3 linked regions of the Mytilus edulis genome follow. The main gene of each other region encodes a partner of the protein of the gene in region 2 in a complex. Links are inferred from orthologs where the notes say so. Each region holds a gene or a part of one and is shown on either strand. Other genes may lie near its edges.

Region 1 (10,028 bases), on a different chromosome or scaffold from region 2:
TCTACAGAAAGTCGTGTCACCTTACAGAAAAACACATTATGTATAGCATTACTCAAATATTCAGTCTCATTGCAATTAGATTTTTGCAAGAAGAACACTTAGAATTTGATGATAGTTGATGAACAAGTAAAGATAACTTTTTTTGTGACAGCGGATAGGATTGTTGCGAATCGTTTGGTAGAAATTGACAAAAAAAGTTTCCAGTATATTATATATTAAATATTATTATAACAACTTTCTGATTTTGTATCAGCGAATATAAAGAGGCTCTAAAGAGCCTGGGTCGCTCACCTTGGTCTATGAGCATATTGAACAAAGGGCACAGATGGATTCATGACAAAATTGTGTTTTGGTATTGGTGATGTGTTTGTAGATCTTACTTTACTGAACATTCTTGCTGCTTACAATTATCTCAATCTATAATGAACTTGGCCCAGTAGATACAGTGGAAAATATTTTGTAAAAATTCACAAAATTTTGAAAGTTGTTAAAAATAGACTATAAAGGGCAATAACTCCTTAAGGGGTCAATTGATCAATTTGGTCATGTTGACGTATTTTTAGGTCTTACATTGCTGTATACAGTTTATCTCTATCTATAATAATATTCAAAATAATTACCAAAAGCTGCAAAACAAGTTTCTCAAAATTGCCATTTCAGAGACAGCAACCTAACAACGGGTTGTCCGATTCATCTGAAAATTTCCTGGCAGATAGATCTTTACCTAATGATCAATTTTATCCTGTCAGATTTGCTCTAAATGCTTTGTTTTCAGAGATATGGGCCAAAAACTGCATTTTACCCTATGTACTATATTTAGCAATGTCGGCCATCTTGGTTCGCGGGCGGGGTCATCGAATACACTTTAAAATAAGATACCCTAATGATGATTGTGGACAAGATTGGTGAAATTTGTCTTAGTAGTTTCAGAGAAGAAGATTTTTGTAAATAGTTATCACAGGTACCAGGATTATAATTTAGTACGCCAGATGCGCGTTTTGTCTTCATAAGACTCATCAGTGACGCTCATATCAAAATATTTATAAAGCCAAATTAGTACAAAGTTGAAGAGCACAGACGATAGAAAATTCCAAAGATTTACAAAAATTCCAAAAAGTTGTGCCAAATAAGGCTAAGGTAATCTATGCCTGGGATAAGAAAATCCTTAGTTGTTCGAAAACCAGGATTACAATTTAGTACGTCAGACGCGCGTTTTGTCTTCATAAGACTAATCATTCTAATGCAACAAATTTGTAACATTCATTTTGATTGGATAACGTCACATATTTACATTGTCAATTGATGCTATGGGACGTACGCGCAAGCGGCTGCGCAGACGTCATATGGCAAACTTTAAATACATTTTTTAACGTTGTTTTCAGTCAGTTTCATTAGAATGGAGATAACAATATTGTCTAACGCGTCGCCAGTACACTTAATTTGCGACCATCAAATCCTCAATTGATGCCGTCGGAGCTTAAAATACAATACAGTTATCTCCTAATTCTAATGCAACAAATTTGTAACGTTCATTTTGATTGGATAACGTCACATATTTACACGCGTTTCATCTACATAAGACTCATCAGTGACGCTCATATCAAAATATCTACAAAGTCAAACTAGTACAAAGTTGAAGAGCATTGAGGATACAAAATTCCAAAGATTTACAAAAATTTACAAAAATTTACAAAAATTTACCAAAAAAATGTTAAAAATTGACTAAAGGGCAATAAATCCTTAAGGGGTCAGCTGACCATTTTGGTCATGTTGACTTATTTGTAGACCTTACTTTGCTGAACATTATTGCTGCAAACAGTTTATCTCTATCTATAATAATATTCAAGATAATAACCAAAAACGGCAAAGTTTTCTACAAATTCAGGGGCAGCAACATAACAACGGGTTGTCCGATTTGTCTGAAAATTTCAGGGCAGATAGATTTGACCTAATGAAATGCAAGATTTGCTCTAAATGCTTTGGTTACAGAGATATAAGACAAAATCTACAGTTTACCCCTATGTTCTATTTTGAGCCATGGCGGCCATCTTGGTTGGTTGGCCGGGTCACCGGACACATTTTTAAAACTAGATACCTCAATAATGAGTGTGGCCAAGTTTGGATAAATATGTCCCAGTAGTTTCAGAGAAGAAGATTTTTGTAAAAGTTAACGACGACGGACGACGGACGCCAAGTGATGATAAAAGCCAGGCCAGGTGAGATAAAAACATTTGTCGAAGCCGTTTATAGCTGACTATATGGTATTGGCATTTCTCATTGTCGACGACCGTATGGCAGGTAACCATAGGAATGCACTTCATTTAAGAACTCTGTTGGCTAGTTGTCTCAGGGGCAATCCTTTCACATATATCTTATTTCATACTAGAATAAGAAACAACTACGTTCAGATTTCATTTCAAATACACATACATGTACATGTATGGCTCATTCAAGATATAATAAAATGTGTCTTGAGTAATCAACAGAAAGCTCCAAACCAAACCACACAATAATTTCGATTAAATTAAAAATGTAATTTATCGATCAAGACACAGAGATCAATTTATCAAAATCTAATACACTGAATCGTTTGGGGTAAACAACCATCACAAATCAGAAAACACTTCATAATCTGATCTGTTGCTGTTTATATTCCAAATTAGAGTATTGATTGAGCTGAAAAAAGTATATATTTATAGTGTACTGTAACCAAAGGAGAAAGTGGTCAAAGTCTTCTACAGGAAATTAAAATATAAAAATATACAAACCTGATATTAAGAATCCATTCCAAATCCAATAGTATTGCTGTACCGGAAGTAGCTGAGTTTGTTATTTGCTTGCCAAAACGTGTTAAAGTTAATGTGATATTAAAGCCGTCTTTTGATGTAGTGTTGTATTTAATTATGTTTAGTGAGATGGTATATATACAACATTTTTAATCGATTTGGAATTGCCTTTATTTTTAAAATCATATTATCTTGAAATCGACATTTGCAGGTAATTTCTAAGTGGAATATCGATCTGACCGTTACCTGTGTAATATTGTCAAAGTCTAGCATGAATAATTCATTTGGGACAGTTTATATAATTCATCACAATTCCAATATTTGACATCTGCCTAGTAAATAACTCGACCTTTATCGGACAATACGTATATCAGTTATATATGTTGTTTTAAAACACATATTTGAAATAGTATTTTTTCTATATTGACAAAGTTGCTGTCAGTGATAGAATGATCTAGAATGGGTTTTCCCAAACATCGCATTTGTCATGTCATAAACAACATATCAAATAATTATAAGTGTTTTGGAGTTTTGGAGTGTGTTTTTGTTTTACTTTTATGAATTGCATTTGACTAAGAAGATCTGACTGGAATATAACACTGTCTATTACTACAGTTTATGAACTAAAACCATATAGAATCGTCTGACGGTCTGCTTCAATATTATAGACCATTATACGACAATTGGCGCAAACACATTATGGAATCTTGTTGATAAATAATGAGAATTGTATAAGTTTTGTTTTATGTATTGTCCATTTTGTCATTATGATTTTGTGGTTTCAAATTTAAAATCCAAACCTTAACTTCATATAGAAACAGTTTATTTCTGGATTTGTGTCAGCTATTTTCTTCCTATTAATGCTCTAGATTTAAAGCTAACCGAATTGACATTTTAGCAGTAACCTTTTCATCTGCTGTTGCATATCATAATTTTTAAGCGAATATTATAGAACAATTCAGATAAATCTGTACTGAGTATTCAGCTAAGATTATGAAAACTTTACATATATAAGCGGTAACAGGCATGTTATAGACTAGCTAGCTCTACGTACACCAGCAATGCCCACGCCACACTAGTCGAACAGGACAAAAAACAACTACGAAATATAAGTTCTCCAGCAAGGAAATGATAGTAATGCCATCGTATTGTTCAGGAGAATTTTTGTTAAAGTTTATGTTAAATAGACTCAATGTAGATAACTGATTGGACAGTCAAGCTTCAAACATTTTAAATGCTCTGACAAAAGCAAAATGATTTTCACGAAACTTCAAAGGTTTTAATTCCTTCGCAATAAATGTTTGTAAGCCCATAACCTGGGATAAAACTTTAAAACACACTAATCTATACAAATCAGTTCAATATGACATCGAAGATCCGTAAAAAACACTATGCAAGTGAAAATAAAAACAACATACATGAATTACCGAATTAAGAGTACTCGCCTTCACTGGAGCCGGTCAAGTTCAAATCTCTAGTTCAAATAATAAATAAACATCTGGTGTTCCCCCAAGGAACAGTTAATGCCCTATTCTGTTCCGTGTGTATATATCAAACACGAGAACACTTGAGTTTTTTTTTTTGGGGGGGGGGGGGGGGGGTAGATCACACCATAATTTGCAAATCAATACGAAAATAAAAAGACCGTTAGATTCACTGCCAGATTTGCCCATGTCATTCCATCCAGAGAAGTGTTCGGTCATTGAGATAACAACCAAGAAAACCCCATTAGAATTCAACTATACCCTTCAGCAACATTTGCTGCAAAAAGAAATATCCACAAATGATCTTGGCTAAACAATCCTTACTGAGCCCAACCTAAAATGGAACGCATCCGTGATCTTCTACAAAATCATAGATCATATTGTAGTCATATACCCGACAGATCTACTTAGTACGCAATCTGACACAATAAAATGTCAACATTCACACATGTATACCAATATCTGTTCTCAACAAACATCTAAACACTTAAATATGATCTATAGTAAAAAAAAAACAGAAGAAAAGGGAACTTTATGCATCGGTTGGAATTTTTATTTCATTTTGTATATATTTAACTGTAAATAGAAATTAGATCCCACGCACCCGCTGGCTTGTGGTATTAGTGCCCGGGCACCTTATCATCAGTATATTGGTGGTGTGCTGAAATATAAAGAAGAAGAATAAATTAAGTGTCGTCGATCACGAGCAATCATGCACGGTATCTAAACCATGTTATAATATTGTAAAAAAAATATAGAATAATCTGTTGATATTTGCCGCTGGTCGATAAATAACCACCATATTTTAATAATAACTATGCATTGACCTTCATTTATCTATATATCATTATTTTTCGTGAAAAATTCCTAAATATTAATTCAGAAAAAATACAATATTCGGAATAAAACCGTGTCCGATCCCATCCGTACAACTTTTATTGTGTTACATCGATTACCTCCCTTGTTAAAAACTAATAATGTTCGTATTTTTTTGCCAAGAAAGTTGACCTAAGTAAAGAAAGATAGATGGAGGTTTTTAAGAAGAAAAAATGTAGAGCAATCAGAAAAAGACGTCACTCATCAGAGAGCGATGACAATTCGAACGAGGATGCAGATGACATTGAGTAAATAATTAGTTCATAACAAATGGACAAAAAAATTTTGTTGGTGAATTTTTAGTCCGAGATTACTCTGACGTCCAACGGCTGTTTTGCCAGACAAGCTGGGGCCGTGGGACGTCAGAGCTCGTCCCATATCAAAAAGTGGATATTTGCCCACCCAAAATAGATGCGCTGCTTCGTTTTTGGTGCCGACTGACGGCCTTGGAATTATATAAATCGGGCAGCAATCTGTTCATTTTTCATTTATCTTTTCATTTATGTAAGTTTCACCTACCTGCCAACTTTCATTTTTCCATATTTTAACAGTTTTCACAGAGACCCATCGATTTCTGAATTTTGACTTTCACTAGTCTTTAGTCTTTAGTAAGTGTCCCAAATGACACTGTAAACACTTGTGTACGTTTCCTCTTTTGTAGTTTCTTCACATATGTAATGTTCACTCATGTACTTAATTGAAATTGTGGCTGCTGCTTAAAAAATTTTGACTTAATTTTGATATAGATTTATAGTGTTTTTTGCTGTATAGTGTTTTTGAATCTACCAGACTCCTTTAAATAATTTTCCAGATGGCACAATATCTCATTTCGATTGTCTCTATTAATTTCTTCTTCATCGATTCCTAATAAGGTGTCTAAATCCATGTGTATATTTCCTGTAATGAAGTAAATAGATGTTCTCATCCTCTCTCTAGCCTCCTCATAGTTAGAACAATGTAAAAGGTAGTGTTCTACAGTTTCTGGCTCTCCACAGGAACAGTTTTTGTCTGATGATGGTATAATTTTGGATTTATAATCATTTAGATCACAATAACCTGTTCTCAAACTAGAAGTAATTGAAAACGACCATTTGGATGGTAAATCTTTTGGTATTTTCTGACAGACTTTTTGATGATAGTTGTAATAATTTCTGCCACGTTGACTTGATTCCCATTGGTTTTGCCATTTTCTTAAAACACTTTCTCTTGCTGCACGTTTTATATCCTGCCTGGTTACTTCTGATGGTTCTTCTATTTTTTCAGCTTCTTTAGCTCCTTTTTTGGCCAGTGAATCAGCAATGTCATTTCCTTGGATATCAGCATGACCAGGTGTCCATTCAAAATTTAATGGAATTCCATTCATCTTTAATACTTTCATGTTTTTCTTAATTTCTCTTATGACTTTGATGTAATTCTCTGATTTCCAGTTTAAAGTTAAAATTCCAATTGAGGTCTGACTATCTGAAAAAAGTGTAATTGAGTCTGTGTTTTGTCTGTTTTCTGATATTAAAAAGTGGTCAACAACAAGTTTAATGGCGATCAGTTCTCCTAGTAGTATTGATCCTTTTTTGGATACAGCTTTACTAATTTCAATTTGTGGTTGATTATTTGATGGAAAGATGACAGCACCTGCTCCTACAGGGCCAGGACTACCAAGACAGGACCCATCAGTAAATGCTATACATGAATTTGCTGGAAGATGACTTAGTTTTTCCATTATTATGTGTTTTCCAACATTTTTTTGGTCTGTTAATCTTGATTTGGAATTTCCAAGGTTTTTCCAATAATCTGGAGGAGATTTATATCTTTGTATCCCATTAAACTGAAATTCTGCTTCTATACCATTTACATCAACACCTGTACATACCTTCATGTCTTCTGCCTGAAGAATCATTTTTCCCACTGGAGATACATATTTTTCAGGGATGTCAATTGTTTTCCAATCATCCAGGATTTGTTTTATTGGAATGGAGATATCATACGAAATAATTTTTGCAAGTGTACGAGTTGCAATTTCTTCTCTACGCAGATGTATTGGTAGGATTCCAGAAACTACTTCCAAAGTCTCTACACTTGATGTTGGGGTAACATTAAGGCATATAGCTAATCCCTTTCGTTGAATTTTGTTCAGTTTGTCTGTTATATTGGTTTCACAGGTCTGCCAAACACTACTTGCATATTCTAAGGTGGAAAGGACAATACTTTGGTAAATTTGAAGTAGAATTTTTGTAGAAATTTTTGCAACTCCTTTGATCATTCTAAGTAGGCTAATTGCTTTATGTGCCTTTTGTTCTACATTTTCGATGTGTTTGAGAAATAATAGTTTTTCATCTAACGTGACTCCTAATATTTTTGGATTACAGTTATATTTTAACAATTTACCTTCTAGTTGTAAATTCATTTTCTTTATTGGACCATTCCTTGAAAAGATACAATATTCTGTTTTCTCAATACTTAAATTAATTCTCCATTTTTTGGTCCAATCCTGGATTATGTTAAGATCCTTTTGTACCTGTTTCTCCATGTCATTCAAGTTCTTTCCATTTATCCATACATTACCATCATCAGCAAATTTGCACTTTTTACATGATAGGTTAGCAAAAATGTCTTTGATAAAGATATTAAAAAGAAGTGGAGCTATAACTGATCCTTGTGGGAGACCTATTTTGGTTTCAAACCAGCTTCCTTTATGGTTGTTAATCACACACCTTGCTTGTCTTTCCTTTAAAAAATTGTTAATCCAATTCCAGATGTTACCTTTAACACCGTTATCATAAAGTTTTGTTAGAAGTCCTTCCCTCCAAACACTGTTGTATGCTTTTTCAAGATCAATAAAGACTGCTAATATAAATTCGTTGTTATTGAAGGCATTAAAGATGTTTTGAGTTAAACTTAACAAGGCATTTTCAGTAGAGCGATAGTGGCGAAACCCTTCTTGTTCTGGATCCAATATGGAGTTGGTCTCTATATAACCTTCTAGTCTAGATGTTACTACTCTTTCCATAACTTTACCCAGTATACTTGTGAGACTAATTGGACGATATGAAGAAGGGTTATTATATGTTGACTTTCCCATTTTCCTTATAAATTTAACATTTGCTAGTTTCCAAGGTTTTGGAAGTTTTCCTTCTTCCCAAGATTTGTTAAACACATATGACAACACACTGTATAAGCTTTCATCTGCCTTCATTAATAATTCTGAAAAAATTTGATCAGGTCCAGGTGCTTTGTCATTTTTTAAACGTTGAATGGCACCTATTAGTTCATCTGGATCTATTGGTTCATTGTATTCTTTTTCTTCCATTTCCTGGTCAAACATTTCTTCACTGATGTTCTAATACTTCTTCATGATCTCTTCATAATGGGTTTGATCAAAGCTGCTTGTTTTCAGATGATTTCCTTTAAAGTATGTTTTCTCAAGTTCTTCACATTTCAATTGTTCATTGAACAGCACCTTTCCATCACAATCTATAAAGGGTAAAACAATATTATTTGTTGTTTTCTTTGTCATTTTTTTGAAGGCATTCCATCTGTCTTTGGCTGTACGAGCATTTGTTAATTTTTCACCTAAATGTTCCCCCCATTCTTCTTGGGCCTTTTCTGTAATCTCTTGAAACTCTGATTCAGCATTTTTCAAAATTTGAAAATTTTCCGGTGTACATGTACTTCTAGACTTAAATCGTCTTTGGGCTTGATTAAGTTTTCTTTTAAAGTCCTTAACTTCCTCATTCCACCAAACTGGATGTCTATGGGAGATCAGTTTTCTTTTTGCAATCTTAGGTATTGCATCTTCCATACATTTTTCAAATTCAATTTCAAACCGTCTATATAAGTCGTCTGTTTTTTCACGATTGACATATTCAAATGATGAAAAAATTTGCTTTGTTGTATTTTTCCATTTATTCCAATCAATTTTCTTTAAATTCCAGATTTCTTCTGTTGTTTGATTGTCCTCAATCTTTTCCTCCGATTTTACATCTAAATATACAGCAATATGGTCAGATTTAATTGATTCATGTGTCAATGTTATACAATCTTTAACTTCATTATATATGTTTTCTGAAATAATTGCTAGGTCAATTACACTTTGACTGTTTCTTCTTGTATATTGTCCATCATTTACACAAATTAAATAATTTTCTGTCATGCATTCTTCTAGTATTAGCCCATGACTATTATCTTTGACATTATTCCATTCAAGGCTCTTTGCATTGAAATCACCAAGCAAGATCAAGTTTTTTAATTTTGATAATTTCACAGCATCACATAAACTTTTCATTAGAACAGCTTTTTCTGGAGGTACATACGGCACCCACAAATTAAAGATTTTATTAGATCTGTCTTGAATTTCCAAACAGACCATTTCAATTGTATCAAGTTCATATTCTGATTTCCTCTTGCAAACAAAATTTAGATTTGGTTTAATTAAAATTGCTGAACCGCCTCTGGCTTGGCCTTTTCGAGGGGTGGAATATACTTTCCAGTCTTTGTAAGTTACCGGTGTTGAAGCAGTTTCAAATGTTTCATTCAAACACAGAATATCTATATTATATTTTTTCATAACTTTCAAATGGACGTCAAGTTACGAGAGAGTTTGTGGCCTCGAGACTCAAATATGCAAATTTTGTAGGAGATCGATGTTTAACATTTAGTAGCCAACCACGATTTTTCACCTCCTTTACAGGAAATCGGTATTAAGCATTTAGTTCCAACCACGAGAACAATCGAAAGCTCTCGGACATTTAGATAACTTGCATCGTAAATGAACGAGGTGTTACATTATGGTCATTTGCATAAATCATCACTGTTTTCTCATGGTCACGTGATAATCTTTGAAAATGAAAAGCAAAATGCAGAAATCGATGGGTCTCTGTGAAAATGG
Region 2 (10,694 bases):
TGAAATGGATCGATTCAAATTTTTATATATCGAAATGGATTAAAAGATAATAGAAAAGCTACATATAAACTTGTATAGTTGTTACAGCAGATTTCAGTGAGTATGTAGCTAAAGGTAATCTCTTTGGTTACCTTGCTTGTTAGCTGAACCGTGAAGTCATTGTTAGGTTAGCTAAACTTCCCTCCTTTAATAGTAGACTTGCCCAACAGAAAACCAATCTATCTCACTGTGGGACTAAGCTACTTTAAAAGGATGGTAGTATAACTTACCTAACAATAACTTCACGGTTCAGCTAACAAGCAAGCTATTACCATTAGCTACATACTGACTGAAATCTGCTGTAAAGACATCACATAACCTGTATAGTTGTTCAAGAAGTGAAATAACCCTAATATATATTTATCAGTAACTGGCCTTCTCTTTCATATATTTTTTCACCTGGATTTTTTTTTTTCGAAATGCATTTATTTATTCGTGATTATTTCAATTCCTAAATGCGTGTATACAAGAACAAAGGTTAGACACATTGTCATATGCTGAAATATTTTTTTGAAATGTTTTTTCTATCATTTTTCTTTATATTTTTTGCGTATTTGACATGTATCTTAATCGAACAAGCCTAAATTCATTTTGTATTCAATTTTGTTTTCTTCTTTTGATTTACTCGTGGAAGACATTGGTACGTATATTAATATGTATTATTTTTATTCTTCGTTTTCAGTTAATGCCTTCATCTGTTACAAAAGAACTTTTGTTGTTGAAACAAAACTAGACCATTTAAAGTTCCAACAGCAATTATGTCAGGATTTGATAGGAAATCATAGAGATGGAAGTAGAAACCAACAAATAAGAACAGTCAGGCTGGAGCATCGACAGTTGGGCAGAATAACTGAGAGGCATTTCCCAGAAAGAATACCAGATGGTAAACGGAAGAAATGTGTGGTGTGTGCTGGGACAGACAGATTCAAGAAATCCCGTATTCAGTGGTGGTGTAGAATTTGCAAAGTTGGACTCTGCGTCGGCAGGTGTTTTAAAAGATATCACACCAGAATCAACTTTGAGGAATGAGAATACAACTTTTAAATGTTGAAAGTTTTTGTCTTATAGATCAGCATGCAATAAAATCTTTTTAATTCTTTCATAATTGTTTTTATAATTTTTTTTATAATACAATGATTGGCAACTTCATGATGAAATGTTTGATTTTAAAGGCTTCTCACCATAACAATAAAAAAACAGTAAAATTCTGCTCTTTGTAAATATAATATTTAATGTTCCATATGCGTGCCATGTCCCATGTGTGGTCTAATTATTCCATTAACGTTAACAAAGTGCATGTGCGTGTACGTCGCATGTTGACGTTACGTTACGTATAGTTTATAGTAACGTCATTCACATATGTATGGCAACGTAACGTTGTAACAAAACAACGTCCCGGCGCTGAAAGGGTTAAAGGTTGAAACAGTGAAATAAAGCAAAATTTTATAAAATAAGCATACGAGACACCCACTTTCCGAATGAATGTCTTTATGTCAGTGCAAAAGCTCAATTTGAGCTCATTTTTAATTGTTACTAATATTTGTTGCCATATTGTTTGACCAAATAAATCAGACAGAACTCCGTCATTACACTATCATACTATACATATAAGTAAACTTTCTTCCACATTTGAATCAGCAGTTTTCATCCCATATTTTTTTCATATTTTTCATATACATTTTGTACTGCAATTTAAAACTTGTGGCCACATTGTTAGGCTGTAAATTTTCAGTTTCAACATTATGTGAGAATTTCACACCAGTATTTTTGCCATATCAGGTTTCAAATGGTTGAGAATTTCTCAAGTTTATTCTTCTTATTTCCTATAAATCAAGTGATTGGCTTATTTAGCATCATGGTTCCATACATTATATGATTAAAATGGATATAAAAATAAACCCGCAAATTTGTAATTAAAAGATTTGCGGAAGTTCCAAATGTTTGTGACAGTTGGACTACAGAATACAATGATGGTAAACTAAAGATTGACATGAAGTCAAATGACCTGTGTTTCTCTGCCTTCATTTTTTTTTACATGAATAAGGTTCTAGATATTAGATCTAATTCCATTTATGAATTCATCCAGCTTTTAACCAGATAACAAGACATCACACCTTGTCTGCATTACTGATCATGATTGAATATGATTGATTGATTAATTGATGGTTACATAACATCCAGTGGCAAATGTTCAAGACAAGATATGTATCAAGTCTTTAAGACAAAAAATTAACTATGAACTATGAAAGGTAGTGATAAACTTTTGAAGATTTAGATATCAAGTCAGTACCTTAGGGTTTTGATTGCATTCAATGCAATCCTTACCCAAAAATATAAATACTCATCCCTCACAGCCTAATGTGTAGTTAAAGCCAGGAAGATGTTATATGATAGATTTAAAATACACTGTAAAGTTTCAATTTCTAGTGACCAAAAAGGTGGTTGCACCATACCTTAAGTATCACAAACATCAATTATAGTAAATAGTAAAATGGTAAAATAGCAAGCTTTGAGGAAAATACAAGAAAAAAATCCCTCAAATGGCAAAATAAAAAGTTCAAGCTCTTCAAACAAATGATAAACAACTGTCATATTCTTGACTTAGTACAGGCATTTCCTTTTGTAGAAAATGGTTAGTTGTGTACACCTGGTTTTATAGGAGTATTGGTGAAACATCAATAAACTGGTAGATTAACTTGTATAAGCTTAACAATTACAGAAAGATGGATAAACAATACTCAATTGATACCAATTCCACTAACATGAAGGCAGAATAAAACAAACAAAAACACATCTTGTTTTGAGAGTTGTATCTCATTCCATACATGTCATACAAACAATCAACTTCAATAAGTGTCATAAACAAAAATCTAATGAAGAATATTTACTGTCAAATTTACAAAGTTAATACACATATTTCCAAGTCCTATCTTTTGCTGGTATTTCTCCTGCCCTGCATTTTCTTTCAAATTCTTGCTGCAAGGATAAAAAAATATATTTTTATATGACAAAGAATGCATGGTATAATCAAAGCAGTCAATTACGGTTAACTGGGATCAGTTGTTGGCTGTCCCATTTACATTTCTTGTCCTATTTTCCCCCATGTTTTACTGAGTATTAGTCCATCACTGAAGATCATCTGAGGAAACCAGATATCTTGGTCATATCTACTGAGATTAATTAATGTTGTTTGATCATATATCTTATTTTATCAGAGATTTTATAATCATATTATTCATATTTCATAATAATCATTTATAATTTTCTCAAGGTATAAAAACAAACAAGTTGAGTCAAATCAGGTGCTTAATATTGTTCATCTGTCAGTTCAGAATATTTGTAAATTTGTGTTTACAATCTCATCACTCTCATGTCAGTATACCAGAAGACAATAAATTATGATTGAATCTACTGTATTTATATTTAATGCCACATGGACATTTAGGGATACATGATTTATTTAGAAGCTAATTTTAGCTTTGAACTAGCTCTCAGTAACTACTAGCACTCTCAAATCTGCACTTTATATCTCTAGTGTCTTTAAGTCAGTTGACGAATGAGTTGTTGTTTATACTTTGCGTCAATGTTATGAATCAAGCCATTTCCAATTGGTTTTCAGAGTTTGTTCAAACATTGTGCTATTAATATATAAGTACTGTGATTGTACCACTGTCCCTGGTAAGAGGAGGGTTAAATGCTGCCACATGCATATTCCATGTGTCTGTTAAAAGTCAGGAGCCTGTAATTGATTCAGTGGTTGTCTTTGCCTGCTGTTTGTCACATTTGTTTTTGTTTGTTGTTTATTTATTCATTTTTAAAATTGTTTAACATAAAGATTAGGGCCTTTTATATAGAACTAAAAAGATTGGGTTTTTGTTCATTGTTTAAGGCTGTATGTAGACCTTTAGTTGCTTATACAATTTTAAAAATCCTCTTCATTTAGATAGTTGTCTCATCAACAAGCATGCATCTACTTATGTTATAAAGTTGTTTTTGTTTACTTCAAATTTAAAGAATTATCAGTTCTCATTATTAGTTAAAATCGAGAAAAAGAGTCTTATATTTTCACAATAATAAAAGTAGCAGACTAATCACTTAGCAGAAAGAATAATTTTTGATACATACCCTTGTGTAATAAACATAACTAAATAACACTGCAGGAATAACTCCTAGAAATAAACCACCAACTAATCCAGTTTTCTTTGTTGGACGAAAATGATCATACTGTGTCGCTTTCAATGCTTTAAACCTCTGTATTGCTGGATCAAACTGAAATTACAATATGGGATTTTTTGTTGATTATGATTTTGTAATTTTCAATACTAAATAAATACAATTAAAATGCAGCTGAATTCTTCCATTCTGTTATGGGGAATCTCAATAATTAACGACAAGAAGAATAATCTAGCAAAGGGAGACTTACTTAGCGACAAGAAAACAAATTTCGTCAATTTTCTTGACAAGAAGTCTAAATATAAATTAGTCACTCAAATAGATATTAAACATTAAATTGAAACATGCATCAATGTGTGTGTGTTTTTTAATATATTTACATTATTTTATTATGCTTAATATAGAGCACGATAAACATTTGATTGTTACAAAAATAATCAGATTAATACATGCATGAAAAGTGTGTAATGGTGTATAAAAAACTATCTGAAAATTCACTATAAGACGTAGTGATACATGTACACGATAGTTACAACAACATTTAAAAATTTATAAATACAACACATAATCAAGTATGGGCTTTGCTCATTGTTGAAGGCCGTACAGTGACCTATAGTTGTTAATTTCTGTGTCATTTTGGTCTCTTGTGGAGAGTTGTCTGATTGGCAATCATACATGTACCACATCTTCTTTTTTATATATATAATTCATTGATCATGTTGACCTTTTTCGATAAATATATTGTTTATAGAGATTTTTTTCATGCCAATAAAGTTGTCTTTTTGTCACTATTTTATTGTACTTGTCACCAAAAAATATTTTATTGAAACCATGTCTGACATGCATGTATACATGTTGAAATATAATAAAGTGTTTTTTTCCAATTTTAATTTATTAAAAAAATGTATATAATAAGAATATGACATTAATGTACAAACATCACCAAGGGGAAAAGCAACTCAATACACCTTATCGCTATTTGTTCGCCATTACTGGACATCACACAGGTTCCTGTAAATGTTGACGTCATAATACAAAATTCTAGATCAAAATTCAGACCCACAATAGAAAAGTGATTGTTGTATGACGTCACTAGTCCAAGTGGGACAGATTCTCTGGTCAGCCGGTAATAGCGATAAGGTGTATCTGATAGCGCACTCCCCAATATTATAAAAATAAAACAAGGGGAGAAAACTGGATACAAGTTTAAATCTGAGGGTTGTTACTTGTAATGGGGGCTAAGGGGTTACCTTCATAACCAATTAAAAATGATATAAATTCTTGACAAATGTACCTTGTGTTGTATTTAGGTATTTAGAATGAAAAAAAAATCTGAGACAAGTGGATGCGATTCCTATCCTCAAATATACATTTGAAAGATAATTTTTTGCAATGTGTTTATATATATATGTTTATTTGTCCAATTTGGCATTTTGTTTTGCTAGTCCGAAACTATTTTAACAAATGCATGATCTTCAAAAGTTTAGTACAATATATTGCAAACAGGAATAGTTATCTATGAACATACTGGGAATTCTGCTTTGAACGGATCAGTGACCTTCCTTTGCCATTCAGCTTTTAGAGCAGCTCTTTGCTCTGATCGCCGCCGTATAGCGTCCATTTCAGCATGGCTTAAATCATACAGTTTATGTGGATCCCATAATTGGACCCGTTTCCTTTCTGTCATCTCTAAATACTTAAATAGGTTAAACTTCTACTTTAGAGAAAAAACATTACAGCTGAAAAGTAAAACCGGAAGTAAACCTAACAATTGTGATTGAATAAAGGCAAGGTTATACCAATTGGTCAAAACTAATGAACACAAATGTTCTAATATTGATGTGGAATAAGATACTAATTCATCATGGCCATGAGAACATACTAGTTTGGCATATTTTTGTTAGTTTTAAAGTGGATGTTTTTATTTCTGTGCAATAATAATATCTCTACGTACTTCACGGCTCTACCTTTTATTCTTCAAAGTCTCGCGGATATTCGCGGGATTTATAAAATTTGCAGTTTTTCAAATTGAAAGTAGACCTAATGAGTAATCTGAAAATGGAGGAAATAAAATGCACAGAACATAGTATGGTTATGTTTGAAGTGTCTCAGAAATTTTTTAAGTCTTGAATAATACACAAAGTACTTAAACACCATTTATTTTCAGACAAAGGTGCCTGCAGAGCCAGTGACAAATACTTGTGAAATAGAAAATAAAAAAAAACCATGAACACAAATTATGATGGAACATAACTTGTTAAAACAAAATATAAAAATTCTAAATGGTATATTGTAATGTACATTGTGACGTCACAATTACTTTGAAAAATTATGCAGGACTGCCAAATTATTAACTCTTGGACAATAGACAACTTTCGTGTTCGATGCATTTCCGTTAAAAACTTTGGTTTTAGTAAACTTCATTCGTGTGTTATAGGGTATCGTCACTTCCATTCCAATGTTGAACGAGTGGTTGGAAAACTATAAAGCTATATTGCGTGAATTATTTGACAAATTGAATTCTCATAATTTTCTTTCAGCACTGCTGTCATTAGGAAATATTAAGTACCTACAGAACAAATCTTATTTTTAGTTTATCCTGCACAATGACGATCACTAAGAAGCTTGATAAATGTTTATAGTGCAGGGATACAGGCGATCCCCTCTATCTGGTAAATGACGCCATAAAGGCGTGCATAATTGACGAGTTTTCTCCGGTGACAGACAAACTTGGAAGTGATCTATTTATACTGAATACACCATAACACTATAATTTCAGTATTTGGAAGTCTGTCCCGCTTGACCCTGGAATTTGTCCCACTTGAAATGTTGATGTTATCATGGTCATACAACAATCACTTTTCCATTGTGGCATCAGATATATTCAATTATGATGTCAAAATTTTTTACGTGAACTTTTATGATGTCCAGTAGTGGCGGACATATAGCAATTGGGGGGGGGGACACGTACATTTATATGCGCGAAAATTTCTATTGATCATGTTGATCTATTGTTTTATCTCTATGATCTTTACTTCAACATGTTCAAAGGCTAAATCTCTTGCATTTTCTTCTTGATAACTGACAATACTGAAAATGCATATGACATTCATAAAACATGATCTGAAATAAAGTATGTTTTGATTTTGAGTTGTCAAACTTTATATGAATCAGATGTGTCTAGATTGCTTCCTTTGATCATGTTGATCTATTGTTTTATCTCTTTAATCTTTGCTTCAAAGATCTACTCCCAGTGGAGACAATGTGATTTTCTGGTAAGCAATATGCTATCCAGTTACACAGATAAAGAACATTGAGGGAAATCATCATGATCATATGTACACCTTGACAGATTTAACAATCTGAAGTAATCTGCAGATGTTTGCCAATTGTCATTTTGATATATCATATACAAATTAATGGGAAGTGATCTGTAAGGATAATGGAAATCCTGAAAAAAAACCTTTAGTTTGGTTGTTGCCATATCCTTCTGCTTCTTCCTGGTAAAAAATCCTATATTCAAACAGTGCTCTCCCCAGGTCCTTTCTTGAATGTGATGCTTTCTTAATTGATTTTCTTATAGATCTTGTTATAGACATATGATGGATGTGAGGCTATAATTTTTTAAATAAAAACATAGCATTTCAAATTTTGAATAAAACAAAAAAACGTCTTTGCATATTGTCTAGCAACACAGAAAATCTAACTTGGTAAAATTAATTTTAAATGTTGGCAGTAATAATAATTAAAACTATGTTCATCATCGTTTTTTTTCCTTTTTAATATCAGAGCAAAAAAATAAATATAATATACATCAATAAACGACAACCACTCACTGAATCACAGACTCATGACTTGCGACAGGCACATACAGAATTTACAATCAAGTGCATTATTCATTTTGTTAAATTTATACATATTTCAGAACAACTTTGCTATTTGAAGACTGGAACTAAAGCTGGACCTAACTATGGAGTTAGTTTCTATGTGTGTCCTCTATCATGTGGATTTTTCAAACAAACACAGTATGTATAAATAAAGGATTAGAAAGCAGTCAATTATTTAGGATTTAGTAAAATGTCAACCAGACCATGAAATAATTTTATGTTTGCTAATGTAGTAACATTTGCTTTTCATAGAACATCTAGATACATCAATATTTAATATAATGATGAGGTAAATTATGATCCAGATAAAGATTTTATTTTATTTCAGTACATTTTGAGACAATATAATGGTGCCAAATGATGTTTATTTATATTATTATCACAGTAAATTATTTCCAATTCATTTCAGAATTTCTTCCACAAAGTGTCCTCAGCATCCAGATGAGATTGTAGATTTACAGGCAATATTTTTTGGCAAGAGTTCTGGTGAAAAAAGGTATATTGGAAATTTAAAAAATTATAGTACTGTAAATTCATTATTGTTCGTTGGATACCAATTTTCGTGGATTTCGTGGTTACAGATAAACCCTGAAATTAAATGTTCAACGAATGACAAATTTTCTATAAGCTTGTATGCAGACCTTGGCAGAACCACGAAATGAAATATCCACAAACATTCAAGTGTTCCTTTATCCACGAAAATTGGTAGCCACGAAAATAAATGAATCTACAGTATACTATATAGGTATGTTGTTTTTCTACTTTGGTATGAATACATAGAGATTTGGGGAAAACAACACAATCAAGCGTAAAAAAAACTCTGGATGCATTATTATTAACCTGTACTAATTTATCATATGCCCTATAAGTAAATTACATTTGTAGTTCTAATTTAAAATGGTAGAAATGTTAAAAAAATTGGAAAGAGTTTTGAATGTAAATTGAAATGAAAATTTGAGGTCATCTTATTTTTTTAGAAACATAGATCTAATATTTTTTGGGGCAACAAACAAAAAATAATCTACAGAAATTGACAATATTTAAAAACCACATTATCTATATCAAATATTGTCAGGAAATAGAAATAGAAGTGATCAGAAGTCGTTCTTCTTTTATGCAATTTCACAAATAGTGTCAAATTTGATTAACACGTTGTAAAGAATTGCGCTAATATTAACGTACCTTTTTGCGGTACGGCCACTATCTTTGTGACGTCGCGTAATTGTAATACTTTATGTTGTATTGAATAGAAACGTATAATGGCAGACGTAGTTCTATCTTTAACGCCTTATTTAACTTACGATCAAATACACAACGCAACGCAATAGATAGACTTGTAAAAGTGTTAAACTATTCAGACGTGAACAGTTAAAAAATATTGAGAGACTTTAACTATAATTTTATTTCATTTATGTCACAATTGATCAGACATTTAATTTCAAATTTACGAATTTTTCATATTGTATTTCAAATTTGAGTTAAATATCATTTTCTGCGGCCCCAGAATGTAAAGAATTGCGCTAATATTAACGTACCTTTTTGCGGTACGGCCACTATCTTTGTGACGTCGCGTAATTGTAATACTTTATGTTGTATTGAATAGAAATGTATAATGGCAGACGTAGTTCTATCTTTAACGCCTTAGTTAACTTACGATCAAATACACAACGCAACGCAATAATCTACACACGTATACTGAGTAATATCTGATTAAATTATTCCCCTATCTACATTGACCACATCTGCAAAAGCTGTTTACCTTGGAGAATCAATAAGCCTATTCGTTTTTTTAAATGTTTCATTTAAGAAAAGGATAGATTTTTTTTTAGAGCAAGTACATTTTCTGAAAAAAATGATAAAGTTTAATGTTTCTTTTTGATGTAACATGTATCAAAAGTGAAGGTCCAAGATGACAGCCACTTAATATCCCAGGTGAATGCTTTCTCTACCTTAAGATATTTTAAGTTTAAAAAAAAAAAGGAAATTAGTTAGAGATTAAGTGTCACACAGAATGGTAAATGTCTCTTATCTAACCCTTATACATTGTACATTTTAAATGTGCTATAATGATTCAGTGGTGAGAATAGTTTGTAATCTATTATGTATTTTAAGGAGATACCACAGGTGTCATGGAAGAATTGCTGGACAGTCTTGGTGTGGCCATAACTCAGAGAAAAAGGTAAATTATAAATGTTAAAATCAAGTCTTGACATATTTTTTTCTATTTATTATCAAATATTTATATTAATAGTACATGTATTACCGAAGAATCAGTACCTTTGTAGATTTTCTTATACATGTATGTCATGCTATTTGCTTATTTAAACATGGGTAAGTTTTATATTAGTCAATTTTTAAACACCTTGCTATCTAAATGCTCTGTGTTAAGATAATGCCAAATATAATGCCTACCCATCTCCAATATTTATTGGAAGCTGTAGTATCTGGGTCAAAGGACATTTTTCTATTATCTACATTTGTTAGATTAAGTTATCATTATTGAATTTTACTTTTCAGTCCTCAGTTAAGCCTTTGGGTGATCATAACCATCAAAATTTAGAGAAGCAGTCAACATCAGACAGTATGACACCTGCC
Region 3 (10,656 bases), on a different chromosome or scaffold from region 2:
AAAAATAACACTGTTTGATTCCTTAATTTACAATGTCAATAAATTAAAATATAAAACACAGTATATCACCAAGAAGGAGATAGAATTCCTCTTATCTGGATTACAATGGTGACATAGTTATAATTATGTCCCCTAGTATATAGATACAAAATGTCTATTACCTGATACCATCATTTTGACCATGAATGGCATTGAGGCACTGCCTTTCTATATTATTCCTGAAGTTTCAGAATATAAAATTTTGATATCTATATAGGGTTAGGGTTAAATGGGTTAGGGATAGGATAATAATCTCAGTGATGACAAACTTTAATGCTCTCATCCTTAAAATTAAGGTTTTTTTTAATTCTTTTTAGTTCATAATAGTAAAATCTAGCTTACCTGAACCATTTTGTTTTCTTTGACAACATCCAAATGGAGGCCTGGTGGTGGTTTGCCTGCCCTAAAAGTATATCCCATATCATACATGTCATGTTAATCAGCAAATTATATCTATTTTTTTATTATGATTCTGAATTCAGCAGAAGATGTCATATATAATTAGTGAATCATAAGATGATAAGACAAGAGTGCACACGCTGAAATGTCTCGCCTTATTTACTAATCATTGATATTATGATGATAGTCCTATTAAAGTATAAAGCTTTATTAAAAACTGTCACATAAACTTAACATTAATCAAGATAACTAAACAAAGACCAATGAACCATGAAAATGAGGTCAAGGTCAGATGAACCATGCCAGGCAGATATGTACAAATAACAATGCTTCCATACAACAAATATAGTTGACCTATTACTTATAGAAAAATAGACCAAAACACAAAAACTTAACACTGAGCAATGAACCGTGAAAATGAGGTTGAGGTCAAATAAAACCTGCGCGGCTGACATATAGATCATAAAATATTTCCATACACCAAATATAGTTGACCTATGGCATATAGTATTAGATATAAAGACCAAAACTAAAAAACTTAACTTTGACCACTCAACCATGAAAATGAGGTCAAAGTCAGATGACATCTGCTCACTAGACATGTACACCTTACAATCATTCCATACAACAAATATAGTAGATCTATTGCAAAAAGTATGAGAAAAACAGACCAAAACACAAAAACTTAACTATAACCACTGAACCATGAAAATGAGGTCAAGGTCAGATGACACCTGCCAGTTGGACATGTACACCTTACAGTCCTTCCATACACCGAATATACTAGCCCTATTGCTTATAGTATCTGAGATATGGACTTGACCACCAAAACTTAACCTTGTTCACTGATCCATGAAATGAGGTTGAGGTCAAGTGAAAACTGTCTGACGGGCATGAGGACCTTGCAAGGTACGCACATACCTAATATAATTATCCTATTACTTATAATAAGAGAGAATTCAACATTACAAAAAATCTGAACTTTTTTTTCAAGTGGTCACTGAACCATGAAAATAAGGTCAAGGACATTTGACATTTTTTTCAAGTGGTCACTGAACCATGAAAATGAGGCCAAGGACATTTGACATGTGACTGATGGAAATTTCGTAACATGAGGCATCTATATGTATATACAAAGTATGAAGCATCCAGGTCTTCCACCTTCTAAAATATAAAGCTTTTAAAAAGTTAGCCAACGCCGCCGCCAACGCCGGATCACTATCCCTATGTTGAGCTTTCTGCAACAAAAGTTGCAGGCTCGACAAAAATTAATATTCCTCATAATATATGAGACAACAATCTGTGAAAACAGATAATGGAACATTTTCTCTAAAATTAGGACTGTATTACTTTTCATTTCAAAATTTCAAATTTACAACAAAAGCTAAATATATTAACAGAAACATTTCAGTAAATTCAGAAATTATTGCGATGCTTTTATTAATGCAAAAAATGTGACAGGGTAATACATGTCATTGCATGTAATCCCAATAATTTGAACTCGCATTTTTTTACATTTTTTACACATGACTTGTTGAAGATTTTTGGCATTATGCTTGTGGTTGGTAAAAAAAACCGATCACTGTCAAGAACAATATAGGTAATTAATGTACAAAATGTAGCTATATATAGATACATACAAGTCTAAATTGAAATCAACGTTCAATCCTATGATCAGTGATGATTGCATTTTATCAAAACTAGAATTGTATACATGTTCCACAGTTTGGGATGCAGTAACCTGATTTAAATCTATAACATCACATGGTCAACATATAGTCTAAATAATTATGACGTCTTGAAAGGCTATTATAATTTTTTTCTTCTTACTTCGAAGTAAGGCGTCAAAGAAAAAAATTACAATAGCCTTACAAGACGTCATAATTATTTGTACTAGGTCAACATATAGATGTACATGTACTGTAGATCAGATTGTTAAATATAGTGTTACCTGGGCGACTTTTGACTTGAACATGTAGTCTAGAATGCATACCAGTTGACATATTCCAGACTAAATGCATCTATTGTAGAGTACGCCGGTTACGTACAATCAAACACAATATGCATTAGTCAAGAGAGCTCCCAATGGTCAGGAGTTCCCTTAGAGTTAATATAGACGTCCAAGCTAACAGACGTGTTTCCTGATGGTAGGAGCCTGGAATTTGGTGCTGTACACAGACCCTTGTAACTCTCAACCTTAGAGTACTCAGCGACACTCTTATATATCTATTAGTATACTTAAGTCACTACACTATGATACAAGCCCCAGTTGTAGACCAAACAGGTTACTGTAAGTAGATGTGGTTTCTCAGTTTTAAGGTTTGTTTGTACAGAGTAGTACATGTATATTGTGTAAACACTTAACACAACTATTTTTGTCAAATGTTTATGAGTAGCTTCACATTTCAGACGAAACATAATTATATCAGAAAAAGTGACCAGTGTAATTAAGGTTCATCATAACAAATGGACAAATATGGCCGTATTTTCACCTCAAAAACTACTCTGTGTTCAGACTTACCTGTGCTGTTTGGAAAGTTTTAATGCCTAGCATCCACTAGATATATAAAAGTTAAATGCATTTTGTGTTTAAAAAAGATAAAATCTTTCTTGGTTTTTGATGGGCATTTTTTTTTCCTTTCTGCAGAAGGTGCAAATATAAACAAACACCTGAATTACTTTGATACTGTCCACTCACTGACTCAGATAAACTCTTTAACTCACCCAAAGTTGTGAAGATACCTGGTGTCCTAGTCACGGAGAGATTCAATATGACCGAATAAAATAGGCGGAGAATGTATACAAATGGAAATAATTAGATAATAGTGTTAAGGAAATGAATATTCAAACATAAATAGGTACGTCATATCCTAGAAAAATATCTAACGAAACGAACTATATATATTGACAAGTTTTGCATGGATTATAAACAATATTTTTTTTGAGAAATAAGTGCGACCTGAACCTGGGTCGCAATTCCGAACATTTTGTAATAGGAAAAATCTGTAGCTCTATGGTCCGCAAATAGTCAAAAAATAACATAAGGACATAAGAGCTACGGTTCCGCAGCTAACATAAATGAAGAGATAAATGAAAAATGAACAGATTGATGCCCGATTTATATAATTCCAAGGCCGTCAGTCGGCACCAGAAGCAACGAAGCAGCGCATCTATTTTGGGTGGGCAAATATACACGTTTTGATATGGGACGAGCTCTGACGTCCCACGGCCCCAGCTTGTCTGGCAAAACAGCCGTTGGACGTCAGAGTAATCGGACTACTGGTGTCCATGTCAATTAAGGACAGTGAAAACAATACAAACCGTTTTTTTACCTGAGGGAGCATCTCATAGTTGTACCACAACTTGGTCAATTTTCAAACCTTTTGCATGAAGGAAAAAAAATGCCTATCAAAATCCAAAAGAGATTTTATCTTTCTGAAACACAAAATGCATTTAACTTTATTATATCTAATGGATGCTAGGCATTAAAACTTTTCAAACTTTACAGGTAAGTCTGTACTCAGAGTAATTTTTGGAATGTAAATACAGCCATATTTGTCCGTTTGTTATGATGAACCTTTAAAAAAAGTATATAATTACAAAGAGAAATGCCCGAGACTGAATAAACAGTGAATTACAGACACTCGGTTTGGCCTCTTTATGTTATGCACTGTCAAAATTAAATTTATATGCATAAATAATGAATAACATATGTTTCAGTCACAATTTCAAATACGTTATTAGTTACACACCATGACGGTACTTCGAAATTATTGACCAGCGGGCCTTCATTCTGTTGGATGTGTTGATTCTTCGCCATGTTTTTATAGTAAGCTGTGATCAACTCGCCCCATTGGAAAATCGACCCACACCAGCTCCGCTTTTTCACCAACTCGCCCCTCTTTTTAAAAAAATCGTCCCACTCTTATCAACCCGCCCCAATTTAACTATATTGCGGAAATAATAATAATAATAATAATAATAATAATAATAATAATAATAATAATAATAATAATAATAATAATAATAATAATAATAATAATAATAATAATAATAATAATAATAATAATAATAATAAGGCTCATTCTATATGCCACTGACACCGGAACATGGAACACATTTATAAAGGAATTAGATAAATCATTAGACCATATTTCAAACAAAAATCAAACCATCATACCAACTGGAGATTTCAACTGCCCAGACATAAACTGGAACACCATGTCCGCAAACCAAAATGCACAAGACAAGGAAATCCAAAGAGCTCTAATGGAAGTTATCATATCACACTCACTAACACAGATACACGAAACACCAACAAGAAGCAATAACTTACTGGACATAGTGCTGACTAACTTCACTTCAAACCCGTCACTTATCAAAACATCTTCTAATGCTCCAGGAAAATCTGACCACGATATGATTGTAACAGACTGCGACATAAAACCACATTATCAGAGTAAGAAGCCACGCAAATGCTACATATACTCCAAAGCAAAATGGGAAGATCTACACAAAGACCTGACTATATATATCCTTTCAACCAACACCATTGAAATGTACCATACAGGCGCCACAGTACAGGAATTATGGGACAAGTTCAAGACAGACCTTTTTTCGAACCTTGACAACCATATACCATCAAAACTCATCCAATCTAAAACCAGTCTACCCTGGATCAATCATAAAATCAGGAAAATGTTTTAAAAGAAAACAAGGCTATATCAACAGGCAAAGAAAACCAAAGACAAAACTCTGCCGACAACATCAAAGCATATAAAAAGCACAATACTGCCTTTAGACATAAGACCAGATGAAGTCGAAAAGCTGCTGAAAAAAAATAAATACATCCAAGGCATCAGGACCAGACGGCATACCAAACCGTATATTGAAAGAATGCTCAAAACAACTAGCACCTGGACTTACAATGATATTCCCAAAATCCATCAACACTGGTACACTACCAAGAGACTGGCTAAACGTAAATATATCAAGTGTCTTCAAAAAGGGAGATAAACATGCACCAGAAAACTACAGACCAGTATCACTAACATCTGTACCATGCAAGCTACTGGAACATATTATCTGTAGACATATACTTTAAAAAAAATAATCATCTAGAGAAGCACAGAGTACTTACATCACTAAACCATAGCTTCAGGTCAGGCTATTCCTGTGCAACCCAACTGCTAGTCACACTACATGACTTCATGAAAGCCTTTGACGCAGGAAACAAATTGATGTAGATATCCTGGACATTTCCAAAGCATTTGACACTGTGCCACACTACAAACTGCTGCACAAAATGAATGAATACGGTATAAGAGGACCACTAAACAAATGGTTGGAGATGTTCCTAACCCAAAGGAAAATGAAAGCTGTCGTAGATGGGGAGGAATCAGAAGAAGCTTCAGTTGACTCCGGTGTAACACAAGGTACAGAACTAGGACCCCTTCTCTTCCTCTGCCACATTAACGACCTTCCAGATTCAGTACAATCTTCTGTGAAGACTTTTCGCAGATGACTGCCTCCTGTACAGGAACAGAAATAGTCAACATGACAACACACTCCTACAGCGAGACCTCCAAAACCTAGAAGTATGGACCAAAAACTGGGGCATTCGCTTCAATGCAAAGAAGTGCTATATACTTAGTATCAAGAACAAAAGCCAGATGATGTACAGCCTAGACGGACATGTACTACAACAAGTCCAACGCAACCCATACCTAGGCTTACAAATATCAGAAGACATAAAATGGACCACGCATATCTCAAATGTAGCCAAGAAAGCCAATTACACACTCGGCTTTCTAAGAAGAAATCTACACTTCTGCCCAAAAGATTGCAAAATGACCGCATATGTATCATTAGTACGATCAACTATGGAATATGGTGCCATAATATGATACCATATACACAGCATGATATAAATCAATTGAAAGTATACAATGCAGAGCAGCTAGATTCATTACAGGCGACTATAGGTTTAGAGAAGAGGGGTCGGTAACCAAAATACTAGCCGAGTTGGAACTAGACAACCTACAAACGAGAAGAACAAGTCAGCGGCTGGTATTTCTGTACAAAGTGGTTGAGGTGTTGGTCTCAGCTCTTAATCCCGACGATTTTCTTGTTAAAAGTAAACCTAAGAGGAAAATCAAACCCAAAACATTTGACAATTTTGTAAGTGCCAATATAGTGACAAATTCAGTGAAGAACAATTCTAAAGGCACTAGAAACTATTCCTAGCAGCACCGATCCATATAAGAACTCTATCTTTGTCAAGAGCATACTACACTGGAACCAACTGGAAGACCGTATTGTATGCGCAGATACAGTTGAGAGCTTCAAGGCTGCTCACCAACACCGTTAATAGGTGTCTTTCTCTCCCGTTGAGTAAAAGTCAGAATTTGTGTCTTCAACGTACACATACAGGTACCAATACAGACAGATAATAATTATAATTTTATTCCACAACGCTTCAATCAGTTTGGAAGACTTTCCGATTTTTCACATTCACAAGTTTCGATTTCCATGACAACGGCAGCCATCTTTAAAGTGCCAGCCCCCGATTGCACATCTACACATGGGGGTTAACATTATGATAAAGTTCCATCAATCATCATTGGTCCATACAATTCCGAGAAATAGTCTGGACAAAAAGAGTGAAATAATAATCATTATTAATAATAAAAAAAATTTAAAAAAAATAAAAATTTGGAACAATAACAATATGTCACCCGACCTCCGTCAGGGTGACATAATAATAATATCTTTTTTAAAGAGAGTAACTCATCAAGTTTGCATTAAACCAATTTTCAATAAGGCTCTCTACATACAATAGCAACTACATGAACAAAATTAAGTAAACATAATTAATCTTATAACCTTATTACACACATATAAACAATAGATGTATATTAACACAAATATATATAACAATAATAAAACACAAAAACAAACAAAAACAAACAAACAAAAAAAAACAAAAAAAAAACCCACCTATACGGTATACATTGTGGCGTAGCTTATAAATTTTACACTTTAGAAAAAGACTTGTAAGAGTAATTGATTGCAGATATACTTTATTTACTAATTTCAATGGATAGTGAATTCCACACTAAGTTTTATGAAAAGAAAAGCCGGAAAAACTTGATTTGTATAATTATTTTGTATTTAATTTAGGGAAAATACAATTATCTGCTAATAAAAGTATTGTACGATTGTTACTATTTGTAGTCACAATACGATTGGATAAATATGTTGGTGTCAGGTCATGTTTTGATTTATACATTATAATAATGACTTCTGGTAGAGTATTCTATTTTCAAGAGATCTTCCCTAAAGTTTGAAAGTACTATTTTTGTTTCAAATGTTAAAATTCGCTAAAAAATAATTCTCAATTGAAATAAGTATACTACAAGTATATCACGCATTATATCAAACCTCTGATTATGAGCGACCTACTTTTAGCGAATTTGAAAATGACAAGCCTTACATTTGCTCTAAGAAATGGTATTACGTTTTCGCGATTTCACCTGTAATTTACCTAAATTAGGCTTTTACATGTGATTTAATCACAGGCACTTGTCTCCAATTTTGTTTCCCTATTGGTACCTTAATGATATATTAATGTATATAGGAAAAAAAATTCTGAGACAGTTGCCTGTGGATTGAATCATGAGAATAATAATATTACTTGTGTGTGTTTTTTTTTAATATAGGAAAATGAGGTATCTCGTTGGTTGTTGTCATACATGTTTTTTTCATTTATTGATTTGAACCGTGGCATGGTTTGCATTCATACCAGATTTTATTTTTTATAAACATTTTCCTTCAGTATAACTGAAATAGCCTTTGTTTGTATACAGTGTCTCGTAAGTCTTTATAGGCTGGGTATTGATCCTTTTTTTTATGATTTTGGTTTGTAATTTTATTGTAGATCAATATGTGATACTTTTATAAACTATCATTTATCTTTATCTTCTCTTATCTTTATCTTCTAAAATTTAAGAAATATTTCACATCAGCCGTATATTTGTTTTCATTCAACCATCTGACAATATATCGTTTGCAAAATTGTCTTCAATTTTCTCCATCGTGAGAAATGAAAATCCAAAATCTGCATAATTAATACATGCCTTCGTATGTTCCGTAGAATCAGAACAATCTTAATATCCTACTAAATAAGTTTTCTCTAAATGTATCATACCTTTAACCAAAGTCGAGTTGTTGCTCTTTTACAAATAATAACTGTACAAATCGGTGCCAAAAACGTCACAAATCCTTTTCGTTTTAAGGTATTCGACATGGCATCAGCGACCCTTTTGAGTATGATATTTCAAATTTGTATCTGTAAACTTTGTCTAAATAGCAGACCATAAAATTATCAGTCATCTAAAGCTAAAATTCAAATGTTTTAACCAGCGCACATCTTACGGAAATTTTTCTGTTGAAGACTATGTATTTCAACGTTATACCAGATGAAATGATATATAAAACAGATATATTCCAGATGAAATAAAGTTTCAAAAAAATATGAAAACCAATAAAACTTCAATAACTAGAGGTTACTTTTCACAATTAGGGCTATTTCAAATGCCGATGTTGGTCCATGTTCGCTCAAACGAAAGTAACATCAAAGCAGCCCTAGGTGCTCGATAAACAGAATGCGGGGTTATATATGTGAGCCCTCAACTCTTTCCCTAAACTGGGACATTATACTAAGTGTAAGAGCACAAGTGCACAAAATAATTTTTAAAAACCTGTACAAATCAGTTTCAATCGGCTTTATTCAGAGTATTGGTACGAGGTGCATGTACATCTAATGCCGAAATAAGAATACTTGTGCTTACTGATTAACTCACGTCATATAAACGCATGTTTATAGCTAAAATATGAGTAAACAGTTTCGAGAGGATGTATGATCTCACGAGTTCTCATAATTATGCATATAGTGATGCATATATAGTTATGTTCTGATTTTCAAAAACAAATTCAATGTTAGTACCGATAAATTATATTCTAAGATTTTCTGCTGTTAAGCTGGGGTCACACATTCGCGATTTTTACTGCCGTCCTTGACAGGACCATTCCCGATTAAAATTTGTATAAAGTGTGATCAAGATCCTGTGAATCGTTGATGGAAATTCAACTTAAATTAAAATAAAAATTAAAATTAATCACGACAACAATCAGATACTGTTCAGCTAGCATCGATATTCCAATGTTTCTAAGCGAATTTGTCCCGATAATGACGTTCTCAATACGATTCTAATCCGATTTGTATCTTTCGCATAGTAAAAATCGGCCGAATCTGTCATAACTGCGTCCCGATTTTACCAAATGTAATTTCAACAGAGATCAGACAGTGGCCAGACAGTGAACCGACTCTGACGGATTAAATTTGTTAGAAAACTGTCGGCATAATCGAAATGATCATGTACTGTCGGAACGTAATACTACCACGGTCCGCTCTACCGCATTGCAAACGACTTTATCTGGGCCCAGTCGCATTGTGTTCTGTAATTATCGGAACTCTGACATGGTATCATTGCCGAATATCATATTAATAACGGGACTATCCCGGAACGTTTCCGACAAACTTGAAGATGGTTCACAAACGACAAGATCTGGATGCAATCTGGACTCATTCGGTAGAAAAAACATTAATTAAAAATTTCTCCAGATCATTCCAGTACCACAAGACACCGTCCAGAAAACACAGAACATTGTTAACATTTTATCCGATGAAGCAGAATCTGTCACGACATAGTCACGCTTGTAATCCGACTAGACAAAATCGATTGAGTTTCACCGAATGTTATGCGGGGTTTACACATTGCCGATTATTGCTCCCGTTTGAGATCAGTCAGCGATACGACACAAAAAGGGAAAAAGTCGGATTACTATCCTCAATTATCTGGTATGTCCTATCATTGTCTGAATGCAGTCGATTGATTTCGCAACAGATTCCTACGGGTTGGGAAGGGTCCAAATAGTTCGGCGAAGCACCCGTCCCGTAAACTATGATAAAGGCAACAGTAGTATACCGCTGTTCAAAACACATAAATCCATGGACAAAAAATAAAATCGGGGTAACAAACTAAAACTGAGGGACACGCATTAAATACAAGAGAAGAACATTCGGGAAGACTCAGCCAATTTTGTCTAGTCGGATTTCCATTGTGCCTACGTCGTGACAGATTCTGCTGTATCGGA

What was found.
Region 1: transcription termination factor 2-like (region 2) and splicing factor C9orf78 homolog share a complex: the UniProt entries of both Homo sapiens proteins name them as parts of the spliceosome. The link is inferred for Mytilus edulis from reciprocal best matches to the Homo sapiens genes TTF2 and C9orf78.
Region 3: transcription termination factor 2-like (region 2) and nuclear inhibitor of protein phosphatase 1-like share a complex: the UniProt entries of both Homo sapiens proteins name them as parts of the spliceosome. The link is inferred for Mytilus edulis from reciprocal best matches to the Homo sapiens genes TTF2 and PPP1R8.

Annotation. Positions count from the first base shown.
Region 1 is NC_092345.1:81,922,252-81,932,279, forward strand, and holds the start of splicing factor C9orf78 homolog, read left to right. Parts: upstream 1-5,221; 5' UTR 5,222-5,296; coding exon 5,297-5,394; intron 5,395-10,028. UniProt on the Homo sapiens protein: Plays a role in pre-mRNA splicing by promoting usage of the upstream 3'-splice site at alternative NAGNAG splice sites; these are sites featuring alternative acceptor motifs separated by only a few nucleotides. May also modulate exon inclusion events.
Region 2 is NC_092353.1:33,963,205-33,973,898, reverse strand, and holds the start of transcription termination factor 2-like, read left to right. Parts: upstream 1-6,198; 5' UTR 6,199-6,255; coding exon 6,256-6,298; intron 6,299-8,137; coding exon 8,138-8,237; intron 8,238-8,508; coding exon 8,509-8,595; intron 8,596-10,211; coding exon 10,212-10,278; intron 10,279-10,616; coding exon 10,617-10,694. Other genes in the region: piggyBac transposable element-derived protein 4-like, read left to right, coding at 722-1,068; NADH dehydrogenase [ubiquinone] 1 beta subcomplex subunit 4-like, read right to left, coding at 2,944-3,015, 4,165-4,308, 5,741-5,899. UniProt on the Homo sapiens protein: DsDNA-dependent ATPase which acts as a transcription termination factor by coupling ATP hydrolysis with removal of RNA polymerase II from the DNA template. May contribute to mitotic transcription repression. May also be involved in pre-mRNA splicing.
Region 3 is NC_092344.1:126,234,619-126,245,274, reverse strand, and holds the start of nuclear inhibitor of protein phosphatase 1-like, read right to left. Parts: upstream 4,318-10,656; 5' UTR 4,259-4,317; coding exon 4,191-4,258; intron 443-4,190; coding exon 382-442; intron 1-381. UniProt on the Homo sapiens protein: Inhibitor subunit of the major nuclear protein phosphatase-1 (PP-1). It has RNA-binding activity but does not cleave RNA and may target PP-1 to RNA-associated substrates. May also be involved in pre-mRNA splicing.